4 linked regions of the Rattus norvegicus genome follow. The protein of the gene in region 2 purifies or fractionates together with the protein of the main gene of each other region. This does not show direct contact. Links are inferred from orthologs where the notes say so. Each region holds a gene or a part of one and is shown on either strand. Other genes may lie near its edges.

Evidence for each region.
Region 1: the proteins of Cct2 (region 2) and Tubd1 purify together in Homo sapiens (co-immunoprecipitation; 3 studies listed by BioGRID and IntAct, with this or other methods). This does not show direct contact. The link is inferred for Rattus norvegicus from reciprocal best matches to the Homo sapiens genes CCT2 and TUBD1.
Region 3: the proteins of Cct2 (region 2) and Ddb2 purify together in Homo sapiens (co-immunoprecipitation; 3 studies listed by BioGRID and IntAct, counting the BioPlex papers as one, with this or other methods). This does not show direct contact. The link is inferred for Rattus norvegicus from reciprocal best matches to the Homo sapiens genes CCT2 and DDB2.
Region 4: the proteins of Cct2 (region 2) and Txndc9 purify together in Homo sapiens (co-immunoprecipitation; 3 studies listed by BioGRID and IntAct, counting the BioPlex papers as one, with this or other methods). This does not show direct contact. The link is inferred for Rattus norvegicus from reciprocal best matches to the Homo sapiens genes CCT2 and TXNDC9.

Annotation. Positions count from the first base shown.
Region 1 is NC_086028.1:71,863,874-71,868,755, forward strand, and holds the start of Tubd1 (tubulin delta chain), read left to right. Parts: upstream 1-1,801; 5' UTR 1,802-1,841; exon of another isoform or gene 1,842-1,947; intron 1,948-4,868; 5' UTR 4,869-4,882. Other genes in the region: Rps6kb1 (ribosomal protein S6 kinase beta-1), read right to left, coding at 1,177-1,317. UniProt on the Homo sapiens protein: Acts as a positive regulator of hedgehog signaling and regulates ciliary function.
Region 2 is NC_086025.1:54,588,334-54,593,169, forward strand, and holds the start of Cct2 (T-complex protein 1 subunit beta), read right to left. Parts: upstream 3,073-4,836; 5' UTR 3,018-3,072; coding exon 3,015-3,017; exon of another isoform or gene 2,872-3,014; coding exon of another isoform or gene 2,791-2,871; intron 2,372-2,790; coding exon 2,297-2,371; intron 2,210-2,296; coding exon 2,144-2,209; intron 1,295-2,143; coding exon 1,183-1,294; intron 737-1,182; coding exon 660-736; intron 565-659; coding exon 452-564; intron 1-451. UniProt on the Homo sapiens protein: Component of the chaperonin-containing T-complex (TRiC), a molecular chaperone complex that assists the folding of actin, tubulin and other proteins upon ATP hydrolysis.
Region 3 is NC_086021.1:97,660,363-97,665,008, forward strand, and holds the start of Ddb2 (DNA damage-binding protein 2), read right to left. Parts: upstream 3,082-4,646; 5' UTR 2,940-3,081; coding exon of another isoform or gene 2,912-2,939; coding exon 2,785-2,911; intron 1,541-2,784; coding exon 1,404-1,540; intron 887-1,403; coding exon 695-886; intron 1-694.
Region 4 is NC_086027.1:47,714,681-47,719,300, forward strand, and holds the start of Txndc9 (thioredoxin domain-containing protein 9), read right to left. Parts: upstream 3,082-4,620; 5' UTR 2,992-3,081; intron 2,896-2,991; exon of another isoform or gene 2,760-2,895; intron 1,905-2,759; 5' UTR 1,885-1,904; coding exon 1,696-1,884; intron 1-1,695. Other genes in the region: Eif5b (eukaryotic translation initiation factor 5B), read left to right, coding at 4,174-4,208. UniProt on the Homo sapiens protein: Significantly diminishes the chaperonin TCP1 complex ATPase activity, thus negatively impacts protein folding, including that of actin or tubulin.

The sequences.
Region 1 (4,882 bases), on a different chromosome or scaffold from region 2:
TAAAGGAAAACCAGGGATGAGGGAGCCTTATATAAATAAAGCAAATAAATCCATAAATCAGCCATAAATCCATATTCTTATATAGATGATGGCATTTAAAACCTAAGTCACTATGAGTTTATTACAGATGACATTTGTCCAGGATTGGTTCTTTAGTTTGACGTTTGGTTTACCTTTGGTGTAAAATAAGTATGCTTCAATAAATATTACTGTAGAAGAAGTGATATACCATAAATAACAAACTACTAGGACAGCAAAGGTAAAACCAAGATGTGCACTAGAAAAGCGATTCTAAATTTAAACTTCAGCAAGGAAAACCCTCACACCACTATTCACAAGTCTCGGTTCAAGCAATTTATTTTTGGCTAGACGAATCACAGCTGTCAACGCTTTTTTTTTTCCCCACCCTACAATTACATAAATTATTCCGAAAAAAAATATAGACATCTTCAACTTGAAGAGAATTAACTTACAAATGCCGTGTGTCATTATGAATGGTTTTTTTTTCCTTTAAAAAGTCACACGGAATGGGGGGTTAAAAATAAAAGGCAAACAAACAAACCCTGGAAGATGCAGCAGAGCCCCCTTGCTCCCGAAATAAAACTCCTGGTGGCTGTCACAGCAGTGCTACTCCCGACAGAAGTTTTCAGCTGTCACTTCTAACAGCTGAGCGCTTCCTAGGAGAGAAGCGACAGGCCGAGAAGAGAGGTGGTTGTGGGGAGTCTGAAGATTTAAGACTTGCAATCTTACACTCCAAAGGGAAACCCTTCCGCGCCTCACCTGCACTAAGGGGGACACCCAGCAAGATCAGCCCTCCCCACCCCCAGCACACGCTCACACCACCCGGGCCACACTCAAGCCCCACAGCTCCAGAAGCCGACCGCGCGCCTTTTCTCCTCTGCGCTCCTGAAACACATCGCTCGGGGCAGCGCTCAGCTAGGGATCAGGGCGAGACCTGCACCTGCGCGCCCCGCAGAGGCCTCACACCTAGGGCCAGGTCCGCCCGCCCGCTCCCCCGCTCGGCCGCGCGGCGCCTCAGCTCCTACCGGAGACCGCTCGCGTCCCCCCGAGTCTCCGCGCCCTAGGACACACCAAGCTTCCCGGGCCCACGCCGCCACCCCGGCCCTGTCACCTCGCCGCCACCACCCCCCCTTCCCCGGGGACCCCGGGCCTCACCCCCTCCTCCAGCTCATCCTCAGAGCCTGCATCCTCTGGCTGGTCCAGGTCTATGTCAAACACTCCTGCCATGTCCTCAGCTTCCCTGTGTCGGAAGTCAGGCGCTGGGTAAAAGCCGTCCCGCCTCCGTCGTCGCCTCATGGGCCCGGACCCGCCGCAGACTCCACTGCTGCCGCCGCCATCACCGGCTGCTTAAGCTCAATGCGTCTGCGCCTAGGCCCCAGACTGGCTCCTCAAGTTCAGCCCCGGAGCATGCGTAAAAGGTCTTGTGAAGCCATTCAGTGGGCAGCGGACATGCGTAGCATTATCTCCCGGTGCCAGGTACTGGCAGGAACATGCGCAGAACACCAACCGAAGCCAAGCCAGGAAAGTAACAGCATGCGCGTTACTTGTCTAAGGCGTTTGCCGGATGTGGAGCATGCGTACCATATCTGAAGTTGATAAATTGAAATTGAACACGCGTGGTTAGCCTTTCTAAATAGAAGAAGGGAAACGGGGGTTGAAAAAAGACTAACCCTCAGCAGAGCTCTTCGCATAAGGAGCAAGCGCATTTATTTGTGCTAGGTAATTTTTTTTTAAAGTATTGAAAGTGAGCATGCGCATAGTAAGAGGGTTGGTCTCCTGAAGTTTGAACCGAACTGAAACTGCCGGTCGCAGAGCTGTCAGTGAGTGTGGGGTTAACTGGGAGCTGATAGGGAAGAAAGGCAAAGAAAGACACTTGGCTTTGCTATTTGCTAATTTGGTGGCTTGGAAAAGTTACATAACCCTTCGGTAACTCAATTTCCTTAACCGTAAAATGAGAATAGTATTACCTACGATGCAGGCTTAGACGTTAAGTTGAAAGTCTGGTTCGCAAGGCTCTGCTCATTTCCGGGGCTATCGAGACTTGATGTGAAGCATTCGTCAAAAATACTCTATTTTTATAGTCCCTGTTATCGGAGAGGCTGAGGCAGAAGGATTATGTATTTGAAGTCAGCCCAGACTAATTAGTTTCAGGCCTGACTGGGCTACTTAGGGAGACCCTGTCTCAAAACAAACAGTTCTCTTTTGTTGTTTAAAAATAATAAAGCTTTACTTCCATACTTTATCTGGTCTTTCTCTAAGTTCCAACTTTGTTTTTCCTTCTTTTCTTATGGAGACATTGTCTTACTAGGTAACTCTGGCTGTTGTAAAATTCACAGTGTAGATGCAAACTCACAGAGATCGCTCTGCCTCTGCCTCCCAAGTGCTAGGATGAAAGACTTCCGCGCTATGCCTAGATCCAACTTGTTAGTTTGTTTGGTTTTTGGTTTTCTGAGACAAGATTTCTCTGTGTGGCCCTGGCTGTCCTAGAACTAACTGTGTCCTCAAACTCAGAGATCTGCCTACCTCTGTCTCTCAAGTGCTGGGATTAAAGGTGTAGCCACCACAACCGGCCTTACTGATTTTAATTGTGCTTACCAGGCCAGAAGATGGTTGGTGAGAGAAGAATAAATAAGTCATATTTTTGGAAGACAGAAAATTAATGTTATTGACTGTTCTATTGAGCTAACTTCTGGTGTCCATGTAGTGTGAAATGTATACAAAGAATTTCTTCATCACTATATTTCCTTTAGATAATTTATGTGTGTGAGTGTATATGCACATGTGTGTGTGAATGTGATCACTTATGCAAATGCACAGGAGATGAGGGCATCCAGTTATCACTTTGAGGCACAGTCTCTCTCCCTCTCCCTCTCCCTCTCCCTCTCCCTCTCCCTCTCCCTCTCCCTCTCTCTCTCTCAACTTGGGGCTGAGTTTTCTCAACCAAGCTGGAAGCCACCCACAGTGATCCTTCTAGACAGAAGGATTGGACTTGCATCTGTAACTACAGGCCTGCACAGGACACCTGGCTTGTTACCTGGGTGCTGGCAGCTAAACTCTGCTCCTCATGATTACACAGCCCCCACCACCAATGCTTTTGTTGTGGTTTGTTTGTGTTCTTTTAAAAGCATAGTTGGAAAAACAGTGAATGTGAATCATATTTTGGGAACTATTGAATTGTGTGTGAATGAATTTGGGGACAGTAAATACTAAATCCCCCAAGTTATAGAGTGAGGAAATTTCTTTTAATGACTAGATTCTTAGATAGAGACAGGAAAGACTGAGGAACATGGGGAGATCAGGAAAAGGATGCTTTATTCCAAAATTTAGTTGAGGTCTCACCATCCGAGAATCAGGATTCCAGCTCAGAGAACTGGGGAAGATGGCTCAGGGGCAAATTACTCACTATACAAGCATGAGAATCTGAGTATGAATTTCCAGAATCCATGTTAAACCAGATGTGTGCTAACCAGATGGGTGGAGTAATCCCAGTACTCCAATGGAGAGATGGAGGGTGGGGACAGGAGATCCCATAGAATCATGGGCTAGCTAGCCTGATACACAGCTGCAAACAACAAAAGAGAGGCCCATCCTCAGACCTGGTAGAAAGCAAGGACTACACATATGTATATATGATTAATAAAATTTTCTGTGAAAGTTGACTATATAGGAACGTTTCTTTCTATAGGGCTATTTCAAATAAGAACGTTAAGGTGGTAATGAGCCATGCTTATGGCCTAAGAGTATATGATTTCTTACCATATACTGTTTCCAGATGTAAGCTTGCAGTTTTCTCTCTTGAACAAGGCCATGAGCTCCATTTACAGAGAAATATGTTGTAACTCCCTTGTTACAACCTTCGTGTCCTTTGGTTTTACTTGTCAGCCTGTTGACCTCACCAATACATTCTAGGAAACACTTAGTAATCATACACACACACACACACACACACACACACACACACACACACACACACACGAGGGGAAGAAAAACAGATCTCTTGGAAAGTCTTTGAACAGTATAATGTCAAGACAGTAAAATCAGGCTAGAGAGGGCTCAGCAGTTAAGAGAGTTTGCTGCTCTTGCAGAGATCCAGGTTCAGTCCCAGGCATCTACAAGGCAATTGTGATAGTGGTCCCAGATGATATGTTGTGACACCCTCTTCTGGCCCCCGAGGGCACTGATGCATGTAGTCGACAGACATACGTGCACATAACATAGGGATAAATTTCACAGCACTCAGGAGGCAGAGGCAAGGTGATCTCTGTGAGTTTGAGGTCAGCCTGATCTATATAGTGGGTTCCAGGACAGCCAGAGCCACACAGTGAGGCCCTGTCTCAAAAACAAGGAAAAAAAAAAGATTAATTATGTACTTTTAAAACGAAGGCAATAGGGCTGGAGAGATGGCTCAGTGGTTCAGAGCACTGACTGCTCTCCCAGAGGTCCTGAATTCAATTCCCAGCAACCACATGGTGACACGCAACCATCTGTAATGGGATCTGCTGCCCTCTTCTGGTGTGTCTGAAGACAGCTACAGTGTAGTCACATATATAAAATTTTCTAAAAATGTCATTTTATGTTGTATGAGAATACCTGCATGACTGTATGTACACAATATGCATGCAGTGCCTGGGAAGGCCATAAGAGGGTAACTGGATCCCCTGGAGCTAAAGTTTCAGGCGGCAGTGTAGGTGCTGAGACACATCCCGGGTCTTCTGCAAGAGGAGCAAGTGCTTTAGCCACCGGGCTGTCCTACCACCGCTTACTGCTGGAGTATGAGTACGTGGCACGTTGTTTGCCCTTGTAAGCAATGTGGTGGTTTCTTATACCTGTGTCTTTTTCCTTTATAGGTGACCCACCCCCT
Region 2 (4,836 bases):
CACATCGAAGTAAACTAAAATAGGTGGACTTTTGGACTCAGCAATTCCACTCATAGAAATATTTCTTGAGTAGCAAATTTCCTATATTATAAAGCTAAAACTTCTCAAAAATACAATATAGCTTAAAGAAAATTCATCAGTCCCGTATTAAAGCACCTCAGGACTAATGTCGCAGAGAACCTATCAATACCCAGAAACACACTGGCTAAGAATCATGTTAAAGGGATTAATAAAGCAGGTATGGAAACAGGCTTGTACTCCCAGCACTTGGGCAGTGAACTTGAGGCTAGTGAGAGCTAACTCTAGAGACCGGAGGCCGAGGGGAAGTGAAGGCCTAGCCAAGGTTCTTGGGTGGGTGGCATGGGTTTTAGCTGCTAGGATAGAGCAAGGTACCAAGATAATGCTCAGGGTTCTCTAGATTTCTTTCCCAAGGGGATTGCGTTATACCAACCCATGATCCACAGCTGAGCTCAGCAGGGCCTCTCTTGCTGCCTTTGTGGCTTCCCTCCAACCCGCAATGATGGTCTGTGGATGGATCTTTTTTGCAATTAAAGATTCCGCTTCCTGCCAATAAACAAGGCACATAAGAGTAACCGAGGATTTGACTACTGCTCAAACCACAGTCCCAGTACTAAGGTGGAATTGCCAGCCGCTCTTACCCGGAGTAGCTCTGCAGCTAAGACAGTAACAGAGGTGGTGCCGTCACCAACTTCATCATCCTGAACTCTTGACATATCTAGGAAAAAAAGCAAAATTATGCCTCCTTATCACTAAATTCTTTTACAACTTCCACAGCAAACCTACACTCCATTTATAGTATGTTCCAGATCTGACTTAAAGCTCTAAATACTTTAGCTTGAATGTACCTCACGAGTTCATGGAAACTAATCCCTGATCTTTTTTTGTCTCAGCACATTATGTCTTTTGTCACATTATGACAGAAAAAAAGACCTCACCAGAAAAGGGCCCACCGATCTTGGACTTGGCAGTTCAGCCAAAGACTCTTGTACCATTTAAAAACTACCTAGTCTGTGGTTGTAGCAGCCATACGGACTATGGATGACAATACTTCTGAATTTCATTTTAATACTGATAAATGCCAATATCTCTCATTTAAATAGTTAACACAACCTGCCGGGAAATAAATTATTAGAAAAGAATAAGAGTAAGTTTCAGACTCACCAACTAGAACTTTGGCTGCTGGGTTGTCAACACCGATGTTTTTGAGAATGGTGGCACCGTCATTGGTCACCATCAGAGAGGCATCCCGTCCACTGCTTAGAAGAATTTTATCCTGAAAGGAAATTTGTGTCAAACTAAGTACTTCCTGAAGAATACCTGCTGACACAGAAACCTCTGAAAGGTTCTTTGGCTACCACGTGCTTTGTAAACCTCACTGTGTAAAATCTTAGAAGTTCAGACAATACAAACTAGCTTTGCTACACCACAAGACTACGAAGCAGACAAATGTCCATCAGCAAAGTTCAAAGCACATCCCACAACATTATACGATAGTTAAAGTATAGCATACTAAAGAAAAAAAAATCACAATGGAACCCTTTCTGTATTAACCAAAAGATCAGTTAAAAACATTAGTACCAAGGCTATAAAAATCTGTTCACATAAAAGGAGGTAGCATGAACTCTGAAAACAGCACACTAAAAGCACATAGACATAAACAAAAAAATGGTATCTGTTATTTAAAAAAATGCATTGCAAAAAAAATGTAACATGACAAACTTATCTGTAAGTGAACCATTGCTACCAGGTTTTGCAAACGGTAACTCTTGCTGCCACTGGAGAGAGATGTGTGATTGGGGATGGTAATACAAAAGGACTTTTTCTAATTTAAAGTTTTAGATTCCAAAACATAAGGGGAAAAAATTATTACTAAATTTACACCAAAAGCTTTAAACCATTATTAAAACTTGTATTTTGGGGGGGTTGGGATTTAGCTCAGTGGTAAAGCGCTTGCCTAGCAAGCGCAAGGCCCTAGGTTCGGTTCCCCAGCTCCGAAAAAAAGGAAAAAAAACAAAAAACAAAAAAACGTACTTTTTGGCCAGCCACTACAACACAAGACCACAGGAAAAGCAAACAAAACTAGAAACAAAAGAAACTTCTAAAAATTTCTTATTTTTCTTACCATGCCCTTCGGTCCCAAAGTGCTCTTCACCAAGTCTCCAATGGCAATGGCACCAATAAAGGATGACTTAAAAAAGAAAAATCAGAAAAGGCGGTCAAAATTTACACTCACAAAGAGTTGGATCTTTCATTTAAAAGAAGCAGACGGGCTTACCAGGCGAGCTGTCTCTGCCCTCTCTTCATCAGCTCCAGCCTTGAAGATATTAACAGGTGCAAGGGAAAGGGAGGCCTAGAAGGAGAAAGTAACACACGCCGTTTGAACGCCAGTACTCGATAAGACACATCTAGGGCCTCTCACTAGATCGGTAAGGTTATCTAAAGGAAAACTGGTTTCCGATATAATTTCAGGAGTCAGTCGTCGGAGTGGGTATTTATTTAAATGGCGAGAGGGACGTTCTTGTAGGCGCCAGGAATAAGCCATCACATCAACCCACTAGTGTTTATGACAAAACTAAAGGCAACATTAAGGATGGGCAAGCACCAACCACCAGTTAGCTACCCTCCATCTTCCACAGGCCTGCACTGCCGCTCGCCCTTCAAGACCCGCCCCGAAGAGGGCGGGGCCGACAAGAGTAGCTAGAAACTTCTCCGCTAGGGCTAAGGCCGGGGGCTGGTCGAGGTACCCTAGATGAGAAGCTCTCATCTTACAAAGAGATGCTGGCTTAGGGCGCGCTCTCCCTTCCAGCCCCACGCAGAGAGCTTGGTCAGCGGGTCCCACGCAGGCCTCATGCCCGGTCCGTGCCATGTGCCGAGGGTCCATGAGACGGCCGCAGGAAGCCTGCGACTCCGGTTAGACAAGAGGAGCAGCGGGGAGGCGGGACACAGCAGGACCCGGGCAGGAGCCGAAGGCCTGGGCCGAAAGCTAGGCTCACCATGGTTCCGACGAATTCAGAGTAGAGGATAATCCCTCACAAGCCGCGCCGGGAAGCCAGCAGGGGGAAAGGAAGGCGGAAGTGACGACACGATCTGCCGCAGGGGGCGGAGCCGACCTGCGCGGGTTTCCGCCTCCTGCGTGGCGGGCTGCTCTCTGTAGAAGGGGCGGGGCCTCGGCTCGTGTTAGCCCAGTAGCGGAAATCATTGAGATGTGGGCGGGGCTAGGGGCGAGCTGATTTAGAATAGAACTGGAGAACAAAGAGACTTTGTACCGCGCGGGTTGCCACGGAAACGAAGTTCCTGCTTAACATACATTTTTAAAATTTAATCTTTCAAAATTTGTTTTAAGGTCAGTTGTACATTTTCAAGTGTTGCACACTAATCATTTCCATTATTTACTCGTCCCGGTAGCAACCATTCCATTTTTCGTGCTTTTTATTTTACTTTGGCAGGGTTATTTATCAATAGACTTCTAAATAATAATTTTTAGCATTATTATTATAAAGGAATCTTCATTTAACTTCTTAGACATGGTCTTACTGTGTAACTCTAGCTTAGCTTGGCCATCTGAGATCCTTCTACCCTGCCTCCACAGTGCAGGTATAAAAGGTGGGCGCCACTACTCCTGCAGTTCATTTAATTTTAAGACACTAATTGGATTTTAACTGCTCAGGACAAGCGCTAGTGAGTCTTAGCTGAGACATTGGCTCTAGTAGTCCAGTTCAGGTTTTCCTCATTTGTTTTCCCTCGGGGTAGGGGAGAGCCCATTATAACTCTTACATGACTTCTCAAAGATCAAGTCCGAAATATTTCAGCTTATTACAAATAGTTTTCTCGGCGCTGGTGAGATGGCTCGGCGCTTAAGAGCAGTATCTGCTCTTCCTGGGGTGCAGAGTTCAATTCCCAGCAACTACATGGAGACTCACAACCATCTGATGCCCTTCTGGCATGCAGGTAGGTGTACATGCATACAGAGCACTCATACATAAACTACATAATAAATCAGTTTTTAAAAAGTTTTCTCTTGGGGCTGGAGAGATGGCTCAGTGGCTAAGAGCATTGACTGTTCTTCCTGAGCAGAGGTCCGAGTTCAAATCCCAACAACCACATGGTGGCTCACAACCATCTGTAATGGGATCTGATGCCCTCTTCTGGTGTGTCTGAAGACAGCAACAGTGAGTGTACTCTTACACATAAAATAAATAATTCTTTTAAAAATATTAAAATGTTTTTCTCTTTGCTCTTGATACCTAAGGCAAAGCCCCAAATGATTGAAAAGAATGTTAGTTTTTCTTTTATCCATTGGTAACATTTCTCTCTTTGATCACTTAGTAAGTACCTAAATTTCTGATACTTGCCAACACTAAGGCATTTTCAATGTTTAGTTATATTTACCCTTAGATATAGTAAGTTCGGGCTGGCGAGCTATGGACAGTCAAATCTAGTTATCAACTGGTTTTTAAACATTATTTGTGAATGAGTACCTTGTTGCTGTGTTCTGACACACCAGAAGAGGGCATCAGATCTCACTACAGATGGTTGTGAGCCACCAAGTGGTGCTGGGAATTGAACTCAGGACCTCTTTAGAAGAGCAGTCAACCACTGAGCCATCTCTCCAGTCCTCCCTCAACAGCTTTTAAAGTCATAGGCACTTAAAATATATATATATTTTTTTTCTGAAGCTGAGGACCGAACCTCAGCTAGACAAGCGCTCTACCACTGAGCTAAATCCCCAACCCCATCACTTAAAATAATTATGTGTGCATATGTATGTGTACAAATGTAAAAAGCCAGAGGACAGCGCTGAGAAACCAGTTTTGT
Region 3 (4,646 bases), on a different chromosome or scaffold from region 2:
AAAGGTTAACTGCATCATGAGGGGGCTAACTTCATCACCGCTTTAATTCATTGGTGAGTTTCCAAATGAATGAGCTAATAGGGCATGGGGTCTGGTTAGAGGAAACAGGTCACTAGGGGACAAGGCAATCACTTACTCCAGACCCCTTGCAATTCATTCTCCCTGCTTTCTGACTCCTGAGATAAGCCGCACTGCTCTACCATCCTCTTCTACCATGATGCCCACAGAGCAAACAAGCATGGGCCAAAACTCTCCAGCTGTTTTTCTTCCTTTAGATCCCTTCTCTCTGGGACTGCCACAGTAATGAAAAATTAACTACCACAGGAAAGATGGACAAAATGAGGTTTTGTAGGAAGGGATACAGAAAGGCATGGCCAAGGCAGGCAGGTCTATGAATTTGAAGCAAGCCTGGTCTACAATGCATTCCAAGCCAACCAATGAAATTCTATCTCAAAAAGAAGATGACGAAAAGGAGGAGGGAGAAGATGAGGAAGAGGAATGCTAGACTTTATAGACCAGTCTATACCTTCTGATATTTTAAAGACCATCATTAAAAACATATTTGAATTGTGTTGCCATTTATAAGTTTTAAAACCAGTTACTTTTTTCCCCAATCATCTGGCTATCAACATTCCTTCCATTCCTCCAACAATCAGCCTTAAAGCATAACCATCTGGCTCACGTAACCACTTACCCCTTTAAGGAAGATGGGTTTGTCCTTTATGCCAAAGTTCCAGATCATAATATCTCCCCCTTTGGAGCCCACAGCCAAAGTACTGGGATGAGTCGGGTGCCATGCCAAGGACGTTGTCCTCCTGTCAAAGGGGGCAGCTTTTTGGAATACCCGGTAAGAAGCTAGAGAGTGCAAAAAGGACTTCTGGAGACCCTAATACAGAGAAAATAGAGTTAATCTGGATTCCCTGAATTAAAACTCATGTCCTAAGCTGGGCATGGTGGTGCATGCCTTTCACTCCACTACTCAGCAGGTAGAGGTAGGTGAATTTCTGTGAGACTGAAGCCAGCCAGGTCAACATACAGAGATCCAGGCCAGCTAAGGCTACACAGAGATTGTGTCTCAGAACATTAATAAAAACTAAACTCAAGTCCTGGGTAAACTGTCACTCTCTGGCTCCTTTGTGCGTAGGCAGTAAGTCTTTGTTGGCCTTGTGTATCAACTATCTGCAATGTATGTGAACTAATCCTGGCAAGCAGGAGGGAGAATGCTTGTTGTAGCTAGGATGTCTACAGAGTAAAACATTTTCTCTTTGACTGAGTGTCCAGTAGGTCAGTCATCATATCTGAGGTGACCTGATGATTCTGAACCAATCCATCGTCTGGTTAGAGCGGGCAGCAGTTGAAAAGCTATGTACACCTTTGAGCGCCTCAGACAGGAAACATCTCACCTGCTGTAGTGACGGCCAGGTGGCTTTGCCCAACTTCTGCTGGTAAAGATCCCGGACAATGCTGCTGCTCCTCGGAGGGATCTGCAAGCTGGACAACTCTGCCAGAAGGCAGCACGACTCACATTTCCTACTAGAAACTGCCCAAGAAGAATAGACGTTTTCCTCTCCCCAGTCTCAGGAAAGGTTTCCCCTCTGAAAATCCTTTGTCTCATCATCTCCTAAAAGCCTTTCTCTGCTGTTGAATATCACTCAACCCAAGAAAGTAATAACAACACTTTCCCAAAACACTCCTCCAAACAGTAATTCTGCAGTGAAACTAAATATGGCCTTTCAGGGTTCCTTAGAGCTTTGCCAAGGAGCTACAGAATAGTGTACACTCAAGACTTTTCTTGTGTGGGATGACAAATTAGTAGGAGTTGAGGGACAAACTTAAAATCACATTTCTAGGACAGCATGGGAGTAATTGCTTAGGGAAAGAGGTTTGTTTAATCTTATATTAAAATAAGAGCTATCCAAACATATTGGTGCATAACTGTAATCCTAGCACTCTGAGGGCTGGAGCATAAACATCTTGAACTGGAGGCCAGCCTGGTCTACACAGAAATACTAAATAAATAACGTGATGAGCAACCATTACTTGAGTGGAAACCAGAAGAATTAACCAGGGTTTAGAAAAGCTCTAAATTGATTAGGTTGCTTCAGGGAAAGGAGGTAAATCAGAGTATATGAAAACAAAGTAACCCTGAATTACCAAACCCTTCTGGTGGACCCAATCTTATAAGGTCCTTTCTCTTGACAACTTTCCTTCCCATGAGAACATGGCTAAAACCATATCACTTTACCACATTCCTTATAGCCCCAGGTTCAAGCCCTGGTAAACGAGAATGAGCTTCCTGAAGAAAAGGGGTTGGGGGGAGACTTCACTCTCCGAGCTGAAACCCAAGGCCATACAGCTAACAACACCCACTATGGAAATTCAGCAATCAAAGGTCTATGAAAGTGAGGATAACTTTGAAACAGATGTGTAAAACTTCTGCAAGGAAAAGTGATGAGTGTGGCTTTTATGGTGATGGAGCTCATCTGATTCTTACTGCCACCTGGGGTAGAGGTGGGGGGTGACAGTTAAACTTAAACTCTCTGGTGTCAATGAACTGGCAAATAAAGCGCAGTCCTATGAGTGTAGCTCAGTTGCAGACCACTTGCTGAGCGTACTAGAGGCTTGGGTTCGAGCCCTAGATCTCTCAAATAAAATCACAGCCTGAGGTGACGGGGACCAGGAACTGCTTCAGAATCCTAGGCACAAGCACCGACCACCCCACCTTCAGCCTCTGGCGTGAGCACCCTGAACCACCCGAAAGCTAAGGCAGCGCACAGGCCGTACCGGGACCCTGCACAAACAGCTTCTTGGCTTCGGGCTCCAGCTCCTGAGGACTTCTGCGGCTTTTGCTCTTGAGGAGCACCGCAACGTCGGGGGACTTCTGGGTTTCTGGGCATTTCTTGGGAGCCATGACGTACTCGGTGAAGAGATACCAAGCTCTATGGCAAAATAACGAAGCAAGACCTGAAAAGCCTCGAAGGAGAAAAACAGGAAGGGACTACGTACGAAGGAGCGCCGTCGTCGCAGGTAGCTTGGCACAGACAACTTCGCGCCAAACTCTCCTAGGGCTGCTTTACTTTTAGCCCCGCCCTGTCCCCTCAGGGCTGTCCCGCCCCTTGGAACTACCCCGCCCCCTCGGGATTGCCACAGTAGGGGGCTGTCCCGCCCCCGGAACTGCCCCAGACTGCCCCGCCCCTTGGGCATGGTCCGCCCCCGGCTGCTCCACCTCTTCCGGAGTAACGTGTGGAGCGTGCTGGGAGGGTTTTTTTTTCTTTTAACTCCCTAAGGACTGGGACTTCGCTTGTGTGCTGGACCAGAAGAAACCGGATTGTTTAAACCCGGCGGAGGTTACGCACGCCTTTAATCCTTGCACGCTGGAGGCCGAGCCAGGCGGCATTAGAGGCTTGCTTGGTGTACAGAACGAGTTCCAGCAGTCAGGAGAACTACGCTGAGAAACCCGGTCTCGAACAACAACAACAACAACAACAACAACAACAACAAACATTGTCTCGAAGAGGAAGAACAACAACAACAAAAAGAATAAAAAGGAAAAAAGTAGGCAGTTTATGTCTTAACAAGAGCAAAGATCCAAGTGTTGCCTGTTAATAATACCCAATCTGATTACCCAATCACCGCTTTAGCATTCGATTCGTTCCTCTCACTTTACAGATGTATTTTACCTCATAGATACTTCAGGGAAGAGCAGTATCTATGGTGGCACGCTCTATGTAATTTCCAGCACTGAGGAGGCTGGGGTATGAGGAGTTAGCCTGGACTACACTGACATCCTGTAGGGGTCAACTAAGAGTGAGACAATCTGGTGTACTGTCGCACAGCGAGGTGACTGCAGATAAGGGTCATTTGCGCGCTCTCTCTCTCTCTCTCTCTCTCTCTCTCTCTCTCTCTCTATATATATATATATATATATATATATATATATATATATATTATTTTTTTTTTTGGTTCTTTTTTTCGGAGCTGGGGACCGAACCCAGGGCCTTGCGCTTCCTAGGTAAGCGCTCTACCACTGAGCTAAATCCCCAGCCCCTATATTTTTTTAAAAGAAAGATTTTGAATGTTTTCACCGTAAGCGATATCGGAGAAATGTTTAACCCAGTTTAAAGAATACAATATATGTAGGTGGGTGAAACGCAATGTATGCATTCGTTATGAAGATGATACTCCATAAATATTTAAAATTCATATGTCTTTATGTAGTTTAATTTTAAATTAAAGCGATGCTCTAGAGGAGAGTAAAAAGCTGAGCCAGTCGTGGGGCTGTCCTAAGATGGGCTTGAATTAAGAATTGTAGCTTAGGGGTTGGGGATTTAGCTCAGTGGTAGACCGCTTGCCTAGGAAGCGCAAGGCCCTGGGTTCGGTCCCCAGCTCCGAAAAAAAGAACCAAAAAAAAAAAAAAAAAAAGAATTGTAGCTTAGTGGCCAGAGAGATGGTTTAATAATGGTTAAAGGAGGGCTGGAGAGATGGCTCAGCGGTTAAGAGCACCGACTGATCTTCCAGAGGTCCTGAGTTCAAATCCCAGAAACCACATGATGGCTCACAACCATCTGTAATGGGATCCGATGCCCTCTTCTGGTGTATCTGAAGGCAGTCACAGTGTACTCATATACAAAATAAATAAATAGATC
Region 4 (4,620 bases), on a different chromosome or scaffold from region 2:
GCTAGTCTGTGGGCAGGAGTGACCGTCTCATGACAGGGGTTCATTAGGGCAGTTCTGCACCTTGTTCATTTACCTGCTTCATTTTAAGTTTCACAGCCAGAATTTAGGTCTGTGAGACATAACATGAAAATACCAATTTAACTTTCACATGTGTGCTCTTTAAACTAATAAAATCAGGGTTGTTTGATTACAAAACGGTTTTTCGGTTTATTTTTGTGATGTGAGGGACTGAACCAGGAGCAAGAGCAGGAGACAGGAGAGCTCTACCACGGAGACACACACACACACTCACTATTTTCTACACTTTAGAAAGTAATGCTCTCACAGGCAACTAAAGAATGTTGAGAGTGGGAGGAAGAGTCTTCTCCAGGGAAAAGCACGCCAACTGGCTGTCCACTACCAAATGGTCAGTCTTGAAAATGTACACACGAGTTAACATTACAGACTGAGCAGGGCATATTTAGAAATGTGTATGTCTACACACACACACATATAGGGATGTAACAACAATTAGTGAGAACAGAGGCTGTGAGCGTGAAAGGGAGAATATGGGATGGCTTGGAAGGAGCAAAGGGAAGGGGGAATGATATAATCCTATGACAATCTCAAATTTAAGAAATAATGTCCTATCCACAGCATAACTAAACAGACAACCAAACTAAACCAAACCACCTCATGAAATAAAGCCCATCCACCCTGGGGGACAGTGCAGTTATCGAAGCTCAGGAAGCTTAGGACCCTATCTGCTTCTGACAGTAATCTCAAAACAGGCCGGGGCTTCTAGAGCAGCCAATAGTGAGCAGAGTCCTCAGAAGGAAAAGTATCCCACCCACGTGGTGTCCAAAGCCAGGGAAAAAAGCCTCACATCTAATTCAGGTTCCCAAGCTGAGGCAGGGCCTTTGTCAACCAAGCCTGGGACTCTTCCAGCCCCTTCCCCTTCCCTGTAGCAGAAAGCTTGTCACCTCAACGGATGCTCACTCTCCCTTTCAGGCTGCTGGTTAGGAGAAAAGTAACAAGGGAGGCTGCAGTGGCCACGCCCATCCGACATTTACTGACCGTTTTTTTTTTTTTTTTTTTTTTTTTTTTTTGGTTCTTTTTTTTTTTTCGGAGCTGGGGACCGAACCCAGGGCCTTGCGCTTCCTAGGTAAGCGCACTGACCAGTTTTAAGGAGCCTTCCACTTCACCTTCTCTCTTGTAAGTGGGTGCAACAACCCAACCATGTCACTGAGTGGCCATGAAGATGACAGACAGAATGGGGGTGCTGGTGCACACCTTGGGCCCCAGCGCTTCGGAGGCAGAAGCGGTAAAATGTCTGAGATTTCTAGGCCAATCATGGCTACACAGTGAGATCCTGCTCCTGTCCTGCCCTCCCACAAAAGACAAGACAACCTAATAAAAACGCAAGTCTAACACTTAGAAATATTTTCTCACACACAACCATCGTATTTCTTTTTGATGTGTGGACCCTAAGCTTGCCCTAAGAAAAAGTCTCAATGTCTCTCTTTCACATGTCATCGCCTCAGTCAAATGGTACATCTTGCCTAAGTCTTCCCTAATGTTTTATTCCTGGGCAGCTACTGAACAGTGTCGTGTGAATTTGGAACATCCTGCAAGTGAGGAGGGAAAGTCACATGACTGCACAGTGCAGTCAGGAGCACAGGGTTACAGTGGTTTCAGAGAGCAGGCGGAGGTTACTTGTTTCTGCTGCTGAGCCTTCCGGAGCGCCGCCAGTCTCTTTTCTTTGAGCAGTTCCAGCTCATCTTCACCGATCTGATCCAGTTTCTGAATTTCAGAGTCCAAGTGATTTTCCACTAGCTTAGCAGCCTGGAGGAACTGGTTTTCTAGGACTTCTGAGAACATGTCGATAGATCCATTTCCTTCCATTTTCCTAAATGGTCTTGGTGCTGGGGGAGGGGAGGGGTTCATAAAAAAACAAGTATTAAGTTTACACTCTGGGTTTTTTGTTTTTGTTTTCTTTTTGTTTTGTTTCTGTTTTTCTTTAAAAGACAGGGTCTCTATAAGGCCTGAGACCTTAACAGGCGCCATGTTGGAGGCATCATTTTGGCCTTAAAACTCAGCCATGTAGGCCCCAGAATAAAGATACCCACTGGCCAACCTGATTTACCCAATTTCTCAATGAGTCTTTCTTCCCAGGTGACTGTAAGTTACTGCATAAAGTTGGCAGCTAAAACTAATCAACTCGCACACAAAATAACCCTGGGCACGGTGGCTTATGACTGTAACCTCAGTTCTCAAGGGCAGAAGCATAAGGATCAGGAGTTTGAGACCATCCTTGGATATATTTGGAGGACAGGCCTGGGCTACTACATAAGACCATTTATTTTAAAAAAAAAATCCCTAAACTACCCTCTAAGCCTCAATTTTCAGCTCCTCATGAATATTATACAACTTAAAAGCTGTATCCCCAGGTTCCCTAACCTGGGGAGGAGAGATACAATAAGACTGTGACTCTTCAGGAAGATCTAGATGAAGGGATCCGAGACCAGCTACTCACAATCTGCCATTAACAGGGCATAGTAGTCGCTTATCCCTGAGGTTTTCACAGACCTTTAAGTTTAAATTCAGAGCTTCATGAGACTAATAAGTGCTGCGCTGGGTTAGGTGGGGCTAAGGATGTGTAGCTTAGTGGTTCCCCATAACTTTCTATTTGTTAAGTATTACTCTTACCGATGAACTGGGGGGGCTGACACTTATTTGTTCCCCTACAAACTCCTACCCGAAACCCTAACCCCGTGTACCTGTCAGCGGACTCTTCGCCACTCCCTGAGCTCAAGGGACTGGTGGAGGAGTTCCGGGGGGTGGGGAGGACGCTAGTTCGCACTAACTGGGGCGCATGCGCCGTAGCCTCCGCAGCCGCCCAGACGAGGCCCTCCCAGCCGCCCCCAGCCCAGCCGGATGTGCAGCCGATGTGTGTCCTTCATCTACACGGGGACGCAGTGGCAAGATCGGCTACAGAACCCTCTGCCGTACCTGGATTATTGGTGAAGCCTACGGAGAGAGGGAGCCGCAGACCAAGAGCACCGACCAGGTTCACGCAGGTTTCAACCTCACAGCAATTGTTAAGGGCGGCGAATGAGCTGTCAGCTCCACCTTTTCATTGGCTACAGCCCTCTCGCGATATAACCTGCGGAAGGGGCGGTGGAGAGTGACGAAAGCCTCGGAGAAGCTCTTATCCTTCGCCACCCGGAACTACTGACTTCTGAGCCTACACTTCACGTGGGCTAATGGCCGGAGGGATGGGCGCTAAGGACGCTGGGGAATGTAGTTTTTATGCACTGACTGCGGGTCCCAGCTCGCAAAGCTACGTGGAAACGAGCCGGGTCTTGCGCTTGAGTGACAGAGGGGCTTCGTTTGCCTTGCGTTTAATAGTTTCTAAAGTGTAGCTTCCAGTATGCTATAAATTTGTACACAGCTCACACTATAACAGTGCACAAAAACATATGGAGAAAAATTTCACCACTCCAGGATCTTCCCTCCCCATTTTATCTTACACACATGCATTTTTAGAACTTGCTCATGAGAAGATTCATATTAGGGGTCCGGTCGCTGTGCCCTTATGTCTTTTTCCCTTAATAGAAGTACACAGTTGACAATTCAGTGTCTGAATTGGTATTTTTGTTTTTGTTTCTGTTTTTGGTCCTGCCAACCCCAGAAAGCTCATCATTGGCTCCTTGTGGTCCTGCAGTGGACTTCCCGCAGCTGAGGCGAGGGGAGTTTTCAGTCCCACTTCGGCGTCGAATGCCAGCCCCGGGGAGGGTGCTTGACAGTGGGAAATGAACGGCCTCATTGTCCTCCTCCAGGTTCTAGAACCCGGGAGCTGCTGGGCGTCGGTGCGCGGCGCTCACTTGCGGCTAGGGGGCGCTCGAGTTCCCACCTGGCCGGCGGGTCAACTCCAGACGCTCTAGCCGAAGCGCCGCTCTCGATGAGCCGCGCCCTGCGTCCCCACGCCGAGGCGGCGGGGCGATGCGCTTGCGTACTGAGGGCTCACACCATATGTGCCCTGTCCCAGTGCGCGGGTCTGTGGAGAGCCGGGTGCGAGAGGCGGCGGCGCGAGGGGGACCGAGCCGAGCGGGCATTGGAGTCGGCTGGGAGACAGTGGGTCTGTGAGACACCGAACCGAGGGGCCGTGGCCACGAGCGCCGCTGACAAGCGATGGGGAAGAAACAGAAAAACAAGAGCGAAGACAGGTTAGGCGGCGGGGCTCGGGCCGGGGGTCGTCGCGCGGGGCCCTGGGTGGGCGAACCTCGACGAGGCGCGTCCCGCGGCCGGGGCTCGGACTGCGGTCCGAGGCTTGGGGCTGGGGCACTCGGAGGTCGTTTGCGGGGGTTCCGGGCGGTGTGGGGCCGGGCTCGGGCGCAGCTAAGCCAGGCCTACGGCCCAGGTGAGTGCGAGCCGGGCCCTGGCAGCTAGGGTAGGGCCGGCCGGGAGCGGCTCGCTCGCCGCCCCTGACCCTGGGAACGCCTCCCGGAGCAGCTCAGGAACTTCGAAGTTGTTCGGGGCTGCGGAGTGGTGGCCCAGCGGCTCCCTCGTCTTGTATGCCAAGTTGGAAACACTTCTGGGGTTATTTAAAGTGCCGGTTGCCCAGACTCCTGCTTTCTG